3 linked regions of the Mus musculus genome follow. The protein of the gene in region 2 interacts with the protein of the main gene of each other region in a biochemical or structural test. Links are inferred from orthologs where the notes say so. Each region holds a gene or a part of one and is shown on either strand. Other genes may lie near its edges.

The links.
Region 1: of the proteins of Casp3 (region 2) and Ptges3, one has a biochemical effect on the other in vitro, tested with the Homo sapiens proteins (2 studies listed by BioGRID and IntAct). The link is inferred for Mus musculus from reciprocal best matches to the Homo sapiens genes CASP3 and PTGES3.
Region 3: of the proteins of Casp3 (region 2) and Gsn, one has a biochemical effect on the other in vitro, tested with the Homo sapiens proteins (2 studies listed by BioGRID). The link is inferred for Mus musculus from reciprocal best matches to the Homo sapiens genes CASP3 and GSN.

What each region holds. Positions count from the first base shown.
Region 1 is NC_000076.6:128,068,982-128,072,481, reverse strand, and holds part of Ptges3 (prostaglandin E synthase 3), read right to left. Parts: intron 3,267-3,500; coding exon 3,197-3,266; intron 2,349-3,196; coding exon 2,250-2,348; intron 415-2,249; coding exon 325-414; intron 1-324. UniProt on the Homo sapiens protein: Cytosolic prostaglandin synthase that catalyzes the oxidoreduction of prostaglandin endoperoxide H2 (PGH2) to prostaglandin E2 (PGE2).
Region 2 is NC_000074.6:46,634,291-46,637,244, reverse strand, and holds part of Casp3 (caspase-3), read right to left. Parts: coding exon 2,919-2,954; intron 1,869-2,918; coding exon 1,693-1,868; intron 1,044-1,692; coding exon 923-1,043; intron 1-922. UniProt on the Homo sapiens protein: Thiol protease that acts as a major effector caspase involved in the execution phase of apoptosis. Following cleavage and activation by initiator caspases (CASP8, CASP9 and/or CASP10), mediates execution of apoptosis by catalyzing cleavage of many proteins.
Region 3 is NC_000068.7:35,302,880-35,306,379, reverse strand, and holds part of Gsn (gelsolin isoform 1 precursor), read right to left. Parts: intron 3,213-3,500; coding exon 3,038-3,212; intron 2,117-3,037; coding exon 1,992-2,116; intron 1,800-1,991; coding exon 1,722-1,799; intron 1-1,721. UniProt on the Homo sapiens protein: Calcium-regulated, actin-modulating protein that binds to the plus (or barbed) ends of actin monomers or filaments, preventing monomer exchange (end-blocking or capping).

The DNA of each region.
Region 1 (3,500 bases), on a different chromosome or scaffold from region 2:
GTCCTGACTACATGGGTTTCTGTCCAGAAAACCAAAAAGGGTGACCAAGGAGTGGTTGAGAGCACCTGTTACTCTTTCAGAAGGCTGGGGTTTGATTTCTAACAACCACATAGTGGCTCGGAACCCTCTGTAACTCCATTACCAGGGACCCTGACACCACCTTCAGACTCTGCCTTGGAACCATGTCCCAAGTGGTGCACAGACACATATATGCAGGCAAAAACTATCCATACACATTAAAATGGAAAAAGAAAAAAGGGATTAAAAGGATTATATAGAATATATTATGGGAACAGGGTAGAAAATGCAATTAAAAAAACTTACCTCAGAGAAACGGTCAAAATTCGACATGTCTTCATCTGAGTCATCCTCCCAGTCTTTCCAATTATTGAAGTCCACACTGAGCCAATTAAGCTAGAGATCAACAATATCACCTCCATGTTATTCATAACCAGTAATGAGACATAAAATCAGCTCAAAAAGAAAAATCCACAAGAAACCAAGAGGGGTAATAAGTCAAGGAATCATTTTTCTTCCCCCCGAGACAGGGTTTCTCTGTGTAGCCCTGGCTGTCCTGGAACTCACTTTGTAGACCAGGCTGGCCTGGAACTCAGAAATCTGCCTGCCTCTGCCTCCCTAGTGCTGGGATTAAAGGCCTGCGCCACCACAGACTGGCTCCAGGAATCATTTTTGACTGTCCAATTTAACCTTTCATACAAAAACATTTATTGGGAAGTATTGCATGATACCTGGAATTAATCCAATTTACAAAGGCTAACATTCAACTATTAATCCGTCTTTAGAGATGGATTATAGGTCATGCTGTTAGGTTGTTTCCAACCTACAGCTTTGTGCATATTAGGTATTCTGTCAACTGAGATACCCCAGTGCCACTGTTTACAGTCTACGCAGTACCTCACTATGAAGGTACTTGGCTGGCCTCAAATTCAAAGAAATATCCTGTTTCTAACATACTCTCCCCTTGTACCATCTTGTGATCAGAACTCAGGCCTTCAGGTTTGGCAGTTAATCACCTTCACCCTGCCAGCCTATCCTCAGTTCCTTGAATCTTGAATGTCACTAAACTTTGCTCCCCTACAGTAACCAAGTAACTTATCAGTATGCTGGCTAATTTGTCACCTCAACACTGGTTACAGTCCTCTGAGAGGAGGGAACCCAACTGAGAAAAATGCCATCGTAAGATCCAGATGTAAGGCATTTACTTAATTAGTGATTGAAGGGCCGAGCTCACTTGGGGTGGGGGTCATCCCTGTGCTGGCAGTCCTGGGTTCTATAAGAAACAGAGGCTGGACAAGCCATGAGAAGCAAGCAGCACCCTCCATGGACTAGCAGCTCCTGCCTCCAAGTTCTTGCTCTGCTATGATGGACTAAGAATATGAAGTATAAGCAATATAAATAAACTCTTTCCTCCCCAAATTGTTTCAAATGGTGTTTCGTCACATCAATAGTAACTAAGAAACCCAGGCAAGCTAGTCTTGATGTCACAACCTTTCTGCCTTAGCCTCAAGTGTGCCACCACACCTGATGCAAAAGTTTGTCTCTCCAATGCAAAAGATCCTAATCAACTACGGTCTGATTTTATGACATTTGATGAGAATGCCAAGTATAGAACACCAGCTTTTTTACAATTATAAAAATGTATTGCCGGGAGTGGTGGCACACGCCTTTAATCCCAGCACTCAGGAGGCAGAGGCAGGTGGATTTCTGAGTTTACAAAGTGAGTTCCAGGACAGCCAGGGCTATACAGTGAAACCCTGTCTAGAAAAGCCAAAAAAAAAAAAGTATTTTTAGGCTTAAAAAGATTCTGCCTACAGGCCAGAAGAGGGCACTAGATCTCATTATAGATGGTTGTGAGCCACCATGTGGTTGCTGAGAATTGAACACAGGACCTTCCAAAGAGCAGACAGTGAGTGCTCTTAACCTCTTAGCCAGCTCTTTGCCCTATTTTTATTTTATTTTTTTAAAGTACAGAATAGAGCTTATTCAGGACATAGGGAGGGGAGTTAAGAGAATAGCAGAAGCAGAGAAAAGCAGAGGAGAAAGTGGAGAAGTAGAGGCCAACCATGACCACTTGGAGAGGGGAGGGGGCAAGACGGAATGGGGAGAAAGGGAGAGCAAAGGGGCAAGAGGCAAGCGAAAGAAGCAGGAGTAAAAGACACCTATTTTTAATTCTTAAAACATTAAAACAATCAAACAGAAACCAAAACAAAACAAAAAACCCAACCTACCTTTGCCCTTTCCTTTGTTAACCTAGGCCATGACTGGCCGGATTCTCCTTTTCGCAAACAACATAAAATCGATCTGTCTGTTCTTTTATGCTTGGAATCCTACAACAAAAGCATCATATCACTCATCTCTCTGCTATGATAAAAACAGCCCTCCCACCATACTGCTAAGGGATAATATTTAGGACCTTGAAACATGCTAGGAAAGTTCTCTGTAACAGAGCTGGACCTTCATAATTTGGTTGTTACTGTGCAGCCCAGTCTTGAACCCAAGATCCTCCACAATTAGCCCCCTGAGTGTTTGAGGGATCCTCTACACAAAGTTTTGTCTCTTTCCTCTGAGGTGGTTTTCCTACATAGGCAAAGCTTTTCTGAGTTGCTACTACTTCCTAAACTTTCAGCTTATAGCCACAAGCCTGATTCATTTTTTAAAATTTCTTTCCAAACAAGCTTTTTGGCTACTCAAAATTTCTGATAGAAGATAGAAAGATTTCAAAGGTACTGTCATTTTGCCAGTGACAGAATAAAAAATATGTAGGAAGAGAGGTTGCTGAGTGTCTAAACTGTTAGGCTAAGCAGATTTAAGATTTAATGTTTATTATTGTGGTAGTTTAAATGAAAGTGGCCTCACAGGCTCATAGGGACTGGCATTGTTGAGAAGGGTGGCACTATTGGGGGGAGTGTGCCTCTTCAGGTGGGCTTTGATGTCTCTTCCTGCCTCTCCAGGTGTAGAACCCTTAGTTACTTCTCTGGCACAATTATCTGCCTACATGCCATCATGCTTCCCTCTGTGACAACAATGGACTGAATCCTTGAGCTGGAAACCAGCCCGTTTCCCTTTATAAAAACTGCCATGTCATGGTTTCCTCACAGCAACAAACCCTAAGATAACAGCAGCACGCCCAGCTTCTCATCATTTAAATCAGAAAAAAAGCATCAATGGTACTTACATTTGGATCGATACAATGAAAAAGATCAATTTCATTTAAATGCTTAAAATTATCGCTTCCTCCAAGACAACTAAAAAAAAAAAAAAAAGTGAGACAGAGAAAGAGATTAGAAAGCCAGTTACATACAGTAAGCTTTGGGTAACACAGATGTAGAAAGGTGGCTGGCTAGTTCATGTCAATTCTACACAATCCTAGAGACAGGAGCCTCAAAGGAGAAAATGCTTCTATAAGATCAGACTGTAAGAAGGCCTATACTATAGTACATTTCTTAGTGATTGATAGGAAAGGGCCCAGCCCATTGTGG
Region 2 (2,954 bases):
GATGAATAAAACAAATAGTATTCAAAAAGGCCCCCCCCCATAGGGTTTTTGTATTTATTTTCAGATTAACTACAGGATTCATTGTGTTTAGCTTAGAAGTACACTGCTTAGAAGATACCTAGTGGATAAAATAAACAAGATGAGTATATTTTATTTGTTTAATAGATCTATCTATCTATCTATCTATCTATCTATCTATCTATCTATCTATCTATCTCTCTATCTACTTATTGTGTGCATGTAGCTGTGCATGTGCCAGACAGTACACATGGAACTCAAAAGACAACTGTGAGAGCCAGGTTTTCTCAGACTACGATATGCACATAACCACATACAGGTTTACACCCACAAACAACTGAACACCGTGTGTGTGTGTGTGTGTGTGTGTGTGTGTGTGTGGTTGTTTATATGACAATGACCCCCATAGGCTCACATGTTTGAATACTTGGTCCCGAGTAAGTGGAACTTTTTGGGAAGGATTGGGAATCATGGCCTTGGTGAAAGTGGTGTGTCAGGTGGACTTTGAGGACTCAAAAGCCAGCATCATTTCCAGTTAGTTCTCTCTACCTTGTGCTGTGCTTGTAGATGGAGATGTAAGCCTACACCTGTCTACTGCATGGCCGCCCTCACCTCCACCCCCGTTTCCTGCCACAATGGTCCACAGACTCTCATCCTCTGTACTCACAGGCTCCATATTAAACATTTTCTTTTGTAAGTTGCCTTGGTCATGGCGTTCTGTCACGGCAATAGGAAAGTAACTAAGATGGCGGGTTAGTTATTTTAGGGATGTAAGGGTACTTTTGTAAAGGGTATATAAACATCTTACTAGCCTTTAGAATAGGCTTCACTGCTCAGCTTCATAATGTGTCACAATATAACTCATCTAATATCCACACAAAACATCCTTTTGACATTTTCTCACCAGGTGCTGTAGAGTAAGCATACAGGAAGTCAGCCTCCACCGGTATCTTCTGGCAAGCCATCTCCTCATCAGTCCCACTGTCTGTCTCAATGCCACAGTCCAGCTCCGTACCCCGGCAGGCCTGGGTGTCGGAAGACATACATACGCTTCTTATAAAAATACACACACACAGTTTACATCTGAAAACTCTAAGTGTGGTCTGAGAACTAGGAAGTTAAAAAAAAAAAAAAAAAAAGAGCAACACTGTACTGGCCGGTTTTGTGTGTCAACTTGATACAAGCTGGAGTTATCACAGAGAAAGGAATCTCCCTTGAGGAAATGCCTCCATGAGATCCAGCTGTAAGGCATTTTCTCAATTAGAGATCAAGTCGGGAGGACCCATTGTGGGTGGTGGCATCCCTGGGTTGGTAGTGCTGGGTTCTGGTTCTATAAGAAAGCAAGCTGAGCAAGCCAGGAGAAGCAAGCCAGTAAGCAGCATCCCTCCATGGCCTCTGCATCAGCTCCTGCTTCCTGCCCTGTGTGAGTTCCTGTTCTGACTCATTTGGTGATGAACAGCAATGTGGAAGTGTAAGCCAAATAAACCCTTTCTTCCCCGACTTGCTTCTTGGTCATGATGTTTGTGGAGGAATAGAAGCCCTGACTAAGACAAACACTGTGATGTACTCTAGATTCCCTAAATGGATGTTTAAACAAATAAAAATATAGCAGTTCTGTAGCCCATTTAACTAAGTTAACCAAACTGAGCACCGAGCTGCTGGGCAATGCCCTACCTGAATGATGAAGAGTTTCGGCTTTCCAGTCAGACTCCGGCAGTAGTCGCCTCTGAAGAAGCTAGTCAACTTTTTCAGTTCAACAGGCCCATTTGTCCCATAAATGACCCCTTCATCACCATGGCTTAGAATCACACACACAAAGCTGCTCCTTTTGCTATGATCTTCCTTAGAAACTGGAAAGACAGTCAGAAATAATATAAAACAGAGCAGAGATGGGAAGGCACATGGCAGCCTGGCACTGTATACAGTAAAGAGCCCAGGCTTATCTGATCTGTATCTAGCTTTCTCACTGGACGAAGACAGCTTTGACTTCATGGTCTTAGCTTCCTGAGTTCTGGGGTTACTGTTATACCATGACAAGATGAAGATGCTGAAAATTGAATTTCAAGAGCATCCAAGTCTAACACAGGCAGAGCACATTTGGAACCATTTTTAGGGAATGGCGTAATTTTCTTTTCTTTCTTTTTACTTTTTACTAAAAAATATAAGCAGCTGGGGGTGGTAGCGCATGCCTTTAGTCCCACCACACAGGGAGCAGAGGCAGGCAGATCTTTGTAAGCTGGAGGCTAGCCTGTCTAAATAGTGAGACTGTATCTTAAAATCAAAGCAAAACAAAAAACAAACAAAAAAACCAATCAGAATAATGTACAGTGTAGTTCTATAATTTTCATACTCGACTCTCTCTATCACTATAGTTAGACCATGAAGTAAAATTACCCAATGAAGATCATTCTAGAGAACTACATATATGCAATTTTGAGCATATTCACAAATATATATCCCCTATTCCACCCAACTTTATGCCCCTCTCCCCTTTATAAATAAAAATAACACAAGGTCCAATTTGTGCTGGCCATATACAGTCAAGAGTGGGCCCATCCACTGCAACACAGCCAACCAATCGGGGACCACACCCATAAATACAGTGGGCCCTCCTTCCTCCAGCAGCCATCAGTTGTCAATAGCTTCCTGGGCTCCCTTCTGTGTAAGGATGCGGACTGCTGGATCCTGCTAGCAGCGATGCTGCCTTGCTCCTACACCCTTTCTGCCTGTCTTCTGCGATGGTGCCTGAGCCTTGGGTTTGGGTGTGGGTTGGGATCCAGGTGCCCCATTCTGACTAAGCTCCGCAGACACTTAATCTCTGTTCTTTGACCAGCTGCGGGCTGCTGTCCACCGCCCACCGAAGCTTCCGAAGGACCTGCTTTGAATTGGTTCTATCTTACCACTATCCATTAATTCCAAAATGTCTTCACGAGTAA
Region 3 (3,500 bases), on a different chromosome or scaffold from region 2:
ATCGACCTACAAATGTGTTTGTCATTAAGCTGTTGGCCTGTAATAGCACCGTCTGCAAATTTGGTTATCAATGATAGTCTAAGAGTCTGGCTTTCCAGCCTCTCCAGAAACACGAGAGAATCTAGAAGCTGAGCTATCACCTTCACTGGGATGAAGCTGAAAGGGAAGGTCCAGTTTACCTCAGGCTATACCTTTCCTCCTGTTTCCTCATCCCAGCCTGCACACCGGCAATCACTGCAATACAGCGGCAGCATTGGAACGCCCTCTCTGAGAGCTCACGAGTCACACCTTTAAAGTGTAGATTCACTCAACAGATGAGTGGACAGAGGTTCTTCATCACTCATCCAACAAATGCACTCGGGAAGGCTGCCCATCCTGGCATCTTGACTGACATGTGTCTAAAGCTTGCGATGAAAAGCCCAGGTCACTGTGAGCCTTAAGACACACACATAAAAAACCCTTGCTGATTTCTACACACCATCTATTGTTTATATCTTTTTGTGTATGTACATGTGTGTATTTGTGCCACAGTGCACACATGGAGGTCAGAAGACAACCTTGGGTGTGGGTCCTCGCCTCACACTTTGTTCGATGTGGGATCTTCTTGTTCATAGTGAGGCAGCCAGACAAGCTGGCCCGTGAGCTCCTGGGGAGTGTCCTGCCTCTGATATCCTCATTCCCCTCTTGCTCAGGAGCATGGTATCACAGACACACCCATCACTCTCGGCTTTTCCTTGGGTTCTGAAGACCTGAACTCTGATCCTCACACGTGTGTAGCAAGCACTTTATCCACTGGGCTATCTCCCCGCTCTGCCATCTATGTATTTATTTATTTATTTATTTGCTTCTTCCAAGAGAATTGCATTCAAGAGCAACTGCCATATATCAATGGCAATTAATTTTATCAAACGCCTTAAATGAGAAAATGCCAGGCTCGAGTCAGGACTGGTCTGGTGTCCCTTTGACTTGTCTCAGGAACCCAAGCACTTAGCATTTTGCCTGGAAGATAGTGAAGCTAAGAAACACTGGCCGAGGACTACCAAGGAGATGCATAAACAGGTAATGTCTCTAACCGCTTAGTCAATGATGACAGCCATATTGTTCAAACTGCAAACACAACTTCCCACTGAGCTTTCCCAAAGCTGCCCCACGGGAGAAAGACATGGGACTTTGTATTCAGACATTCTACAGCCTGGAGGATACTGGGAACAGGCACTTGATAGAAGAGTTACTGAGTTGACACTCCCACGGGAATAGATCCAGACCGGGCAGAGGTCAACTTGATGCAGTCCTTCACTCCCAGCGTCCCCAGTACAGAGCACTATGCAGATGCCCAACTGACACTGGATGAATGAATGAATGTTGTCATCCCTTCTGGGGCCCCCACAGCAGCTACCCTAGCAGATGGCACTAGAGGGATCAGAGCTGGGGAGTGACATTCTCAAGTCTCCAAATCACACTGGGCAGTAGAGCTATGTGACCTGGGTTTCTTTTCTAGGGTGCTGAGCAGATTTCAACAACCATGTATCTTGCCAGGCAGGTCCCACCACTTTCATGTTACAACTGTGGAAATGGCGTCTCAGGGAGAGGGTATGGCTTGTAGCCATTCCAGGAAACACCTGGTGTTGTCTCTTTTATGCCCTTCCCATGGTGACTCATCTTAGAACTAAGAGTCCAGCTTCTCCCTCTACCCAGGTCTTCTCCCTCTCTCCTTCACTCACCTGGTCCCAGGTGTCCAGGAGCATGACGTCATCAGTAGCCAGGTCTTCCTGCATAAGCTCGCCAGGAACCTCTTCGATCTGGGAAGGGTCAAAGGGGGTCAATGAAGAAACATCAGCCCTATTGGTTCCCAGAATGAGTTTAGAGAGGGATGGTCTGCCTGCAGAGACCCTTCCCTGGGCCATCAGACTTTCTCCAGGCTCTGAGGTTCACTGAGCCCTGGACCTGCCTCCTTCCCTAGGCACAAGCAGAGGTGGCACCTCCAGACTCACCACAAAGCGTCCGATCCTGTTGGAGCAGGCAAAGAGTCGAGGAGGATGGGCATCCATCTTCTTGTCCTTAAGCCTGGGGGATGTGCGGTAGGCAGTCTTCCCGCCCAGAGCCTCCCAGAAGGCATCTGTGAGGGGAGATCACCTTGGTTGCCAAGGGAAACCCTTGACCCATGAGCACATCTCACCAGACCCCAGACCAAACTGCCCAAAGCCAGCTGGCTGTTCTCCACTCTAAGATCCCAAGGGGCTCAAGATGGAAGAGAATGGAAAGAAAGGCCTGAGAGGGTAAGCAGGCAGAAAACAGTGCAGAGACGAGAGCACTACAGAACGGGGCTAATTATCTCTTCTCAGCACATGAGTCAGTAGATGCCCAGAGACAGGACAGCAATTTACCTAAAACAGCCTGGGAATGGAAAAACCAGGAGGCAAATCTGTTTTAAGTCCGATTTCCATGCTCTTTCTACAATACCTGCTGTCTACGTGTGTTCTGCATTTTTACAGAAATGTATCACCGTTAAAGATACAACTTCCTTGTGTCCACTCATTGGCTCCAGCTACAGTTCAAGTCCTCAAAAGCCACAGTGACCATCAGCCACCAAATTGGGGCTGGGAGGTACAGAACACTCATCCTCATAGATGTGTCTGCTGGATGGAGAGGCTGCATGCCCACACATGCGTGGACAGAGCATACACAGACCAAGCTGTCCTTCACTGCTTCTGTGAGATACCAGGAAAGGGGGAGGGTTCTGAGTATCAGCAGAAAAGAGGGCTGAGGGCTGAAGCAGGGTCTTCCTCTCTATAGATCTGAAGGTCCGGGGCCTCTTTGACTCTGTCACTCATCGCTCTTACAAGACTTCCTGGGAAATAGTCAACAGCCCCTGAGGCCCCCTCGAACCATCCACACCAAGTTCCCCCTTTCTTCAGGAGACAAGAGATTATCTATCACTGGCTATCACCCTCATTCCATCAATACACTCGAGGTGAAGGCACCAGAGAAGGATGTGGAGATGGAGCTCCAGGCAGTGGGAATTGGTGGGTCCCCGCACCTGGCTCACTGCCTTCTTCCACCTGCACATGCTGGGACCGAAGCACCTTCAGAAGCTCCTGGGCGCCGGTCTTCTCCGCCTCACTGGCTCCTGCGCCCACCCACAGGTAGGCAGCGGAGGGGGTTTTCAGCACAAAGGCATCGTTGGAGTTCAGAGCACCAGACTTAGGCATCACCTGGAGGTGGAGTGGGACAGGCAGCACTCAACTAATCAGGGGCCAGGAAAAAACAACCCTGCCCCTCCTTATAGCCAGGAGACTCTGCAGTAGGACAAACTTCTTCCCTTCAGAAATGGAGAGCACAAAGTTTGGAGACTGAGCGGGTCTGGCTAATTCCCATGTTTCTTGGATGCATGTGATGAGGGAGAAGTCTCCAGAATTTGGGGCTGCCTTAGCAAAAGTTGTATGTTCAAAACAAAGGAAGTGATAGAGTAATTCACAGCACCAAGACCATAGTGTCTGCTG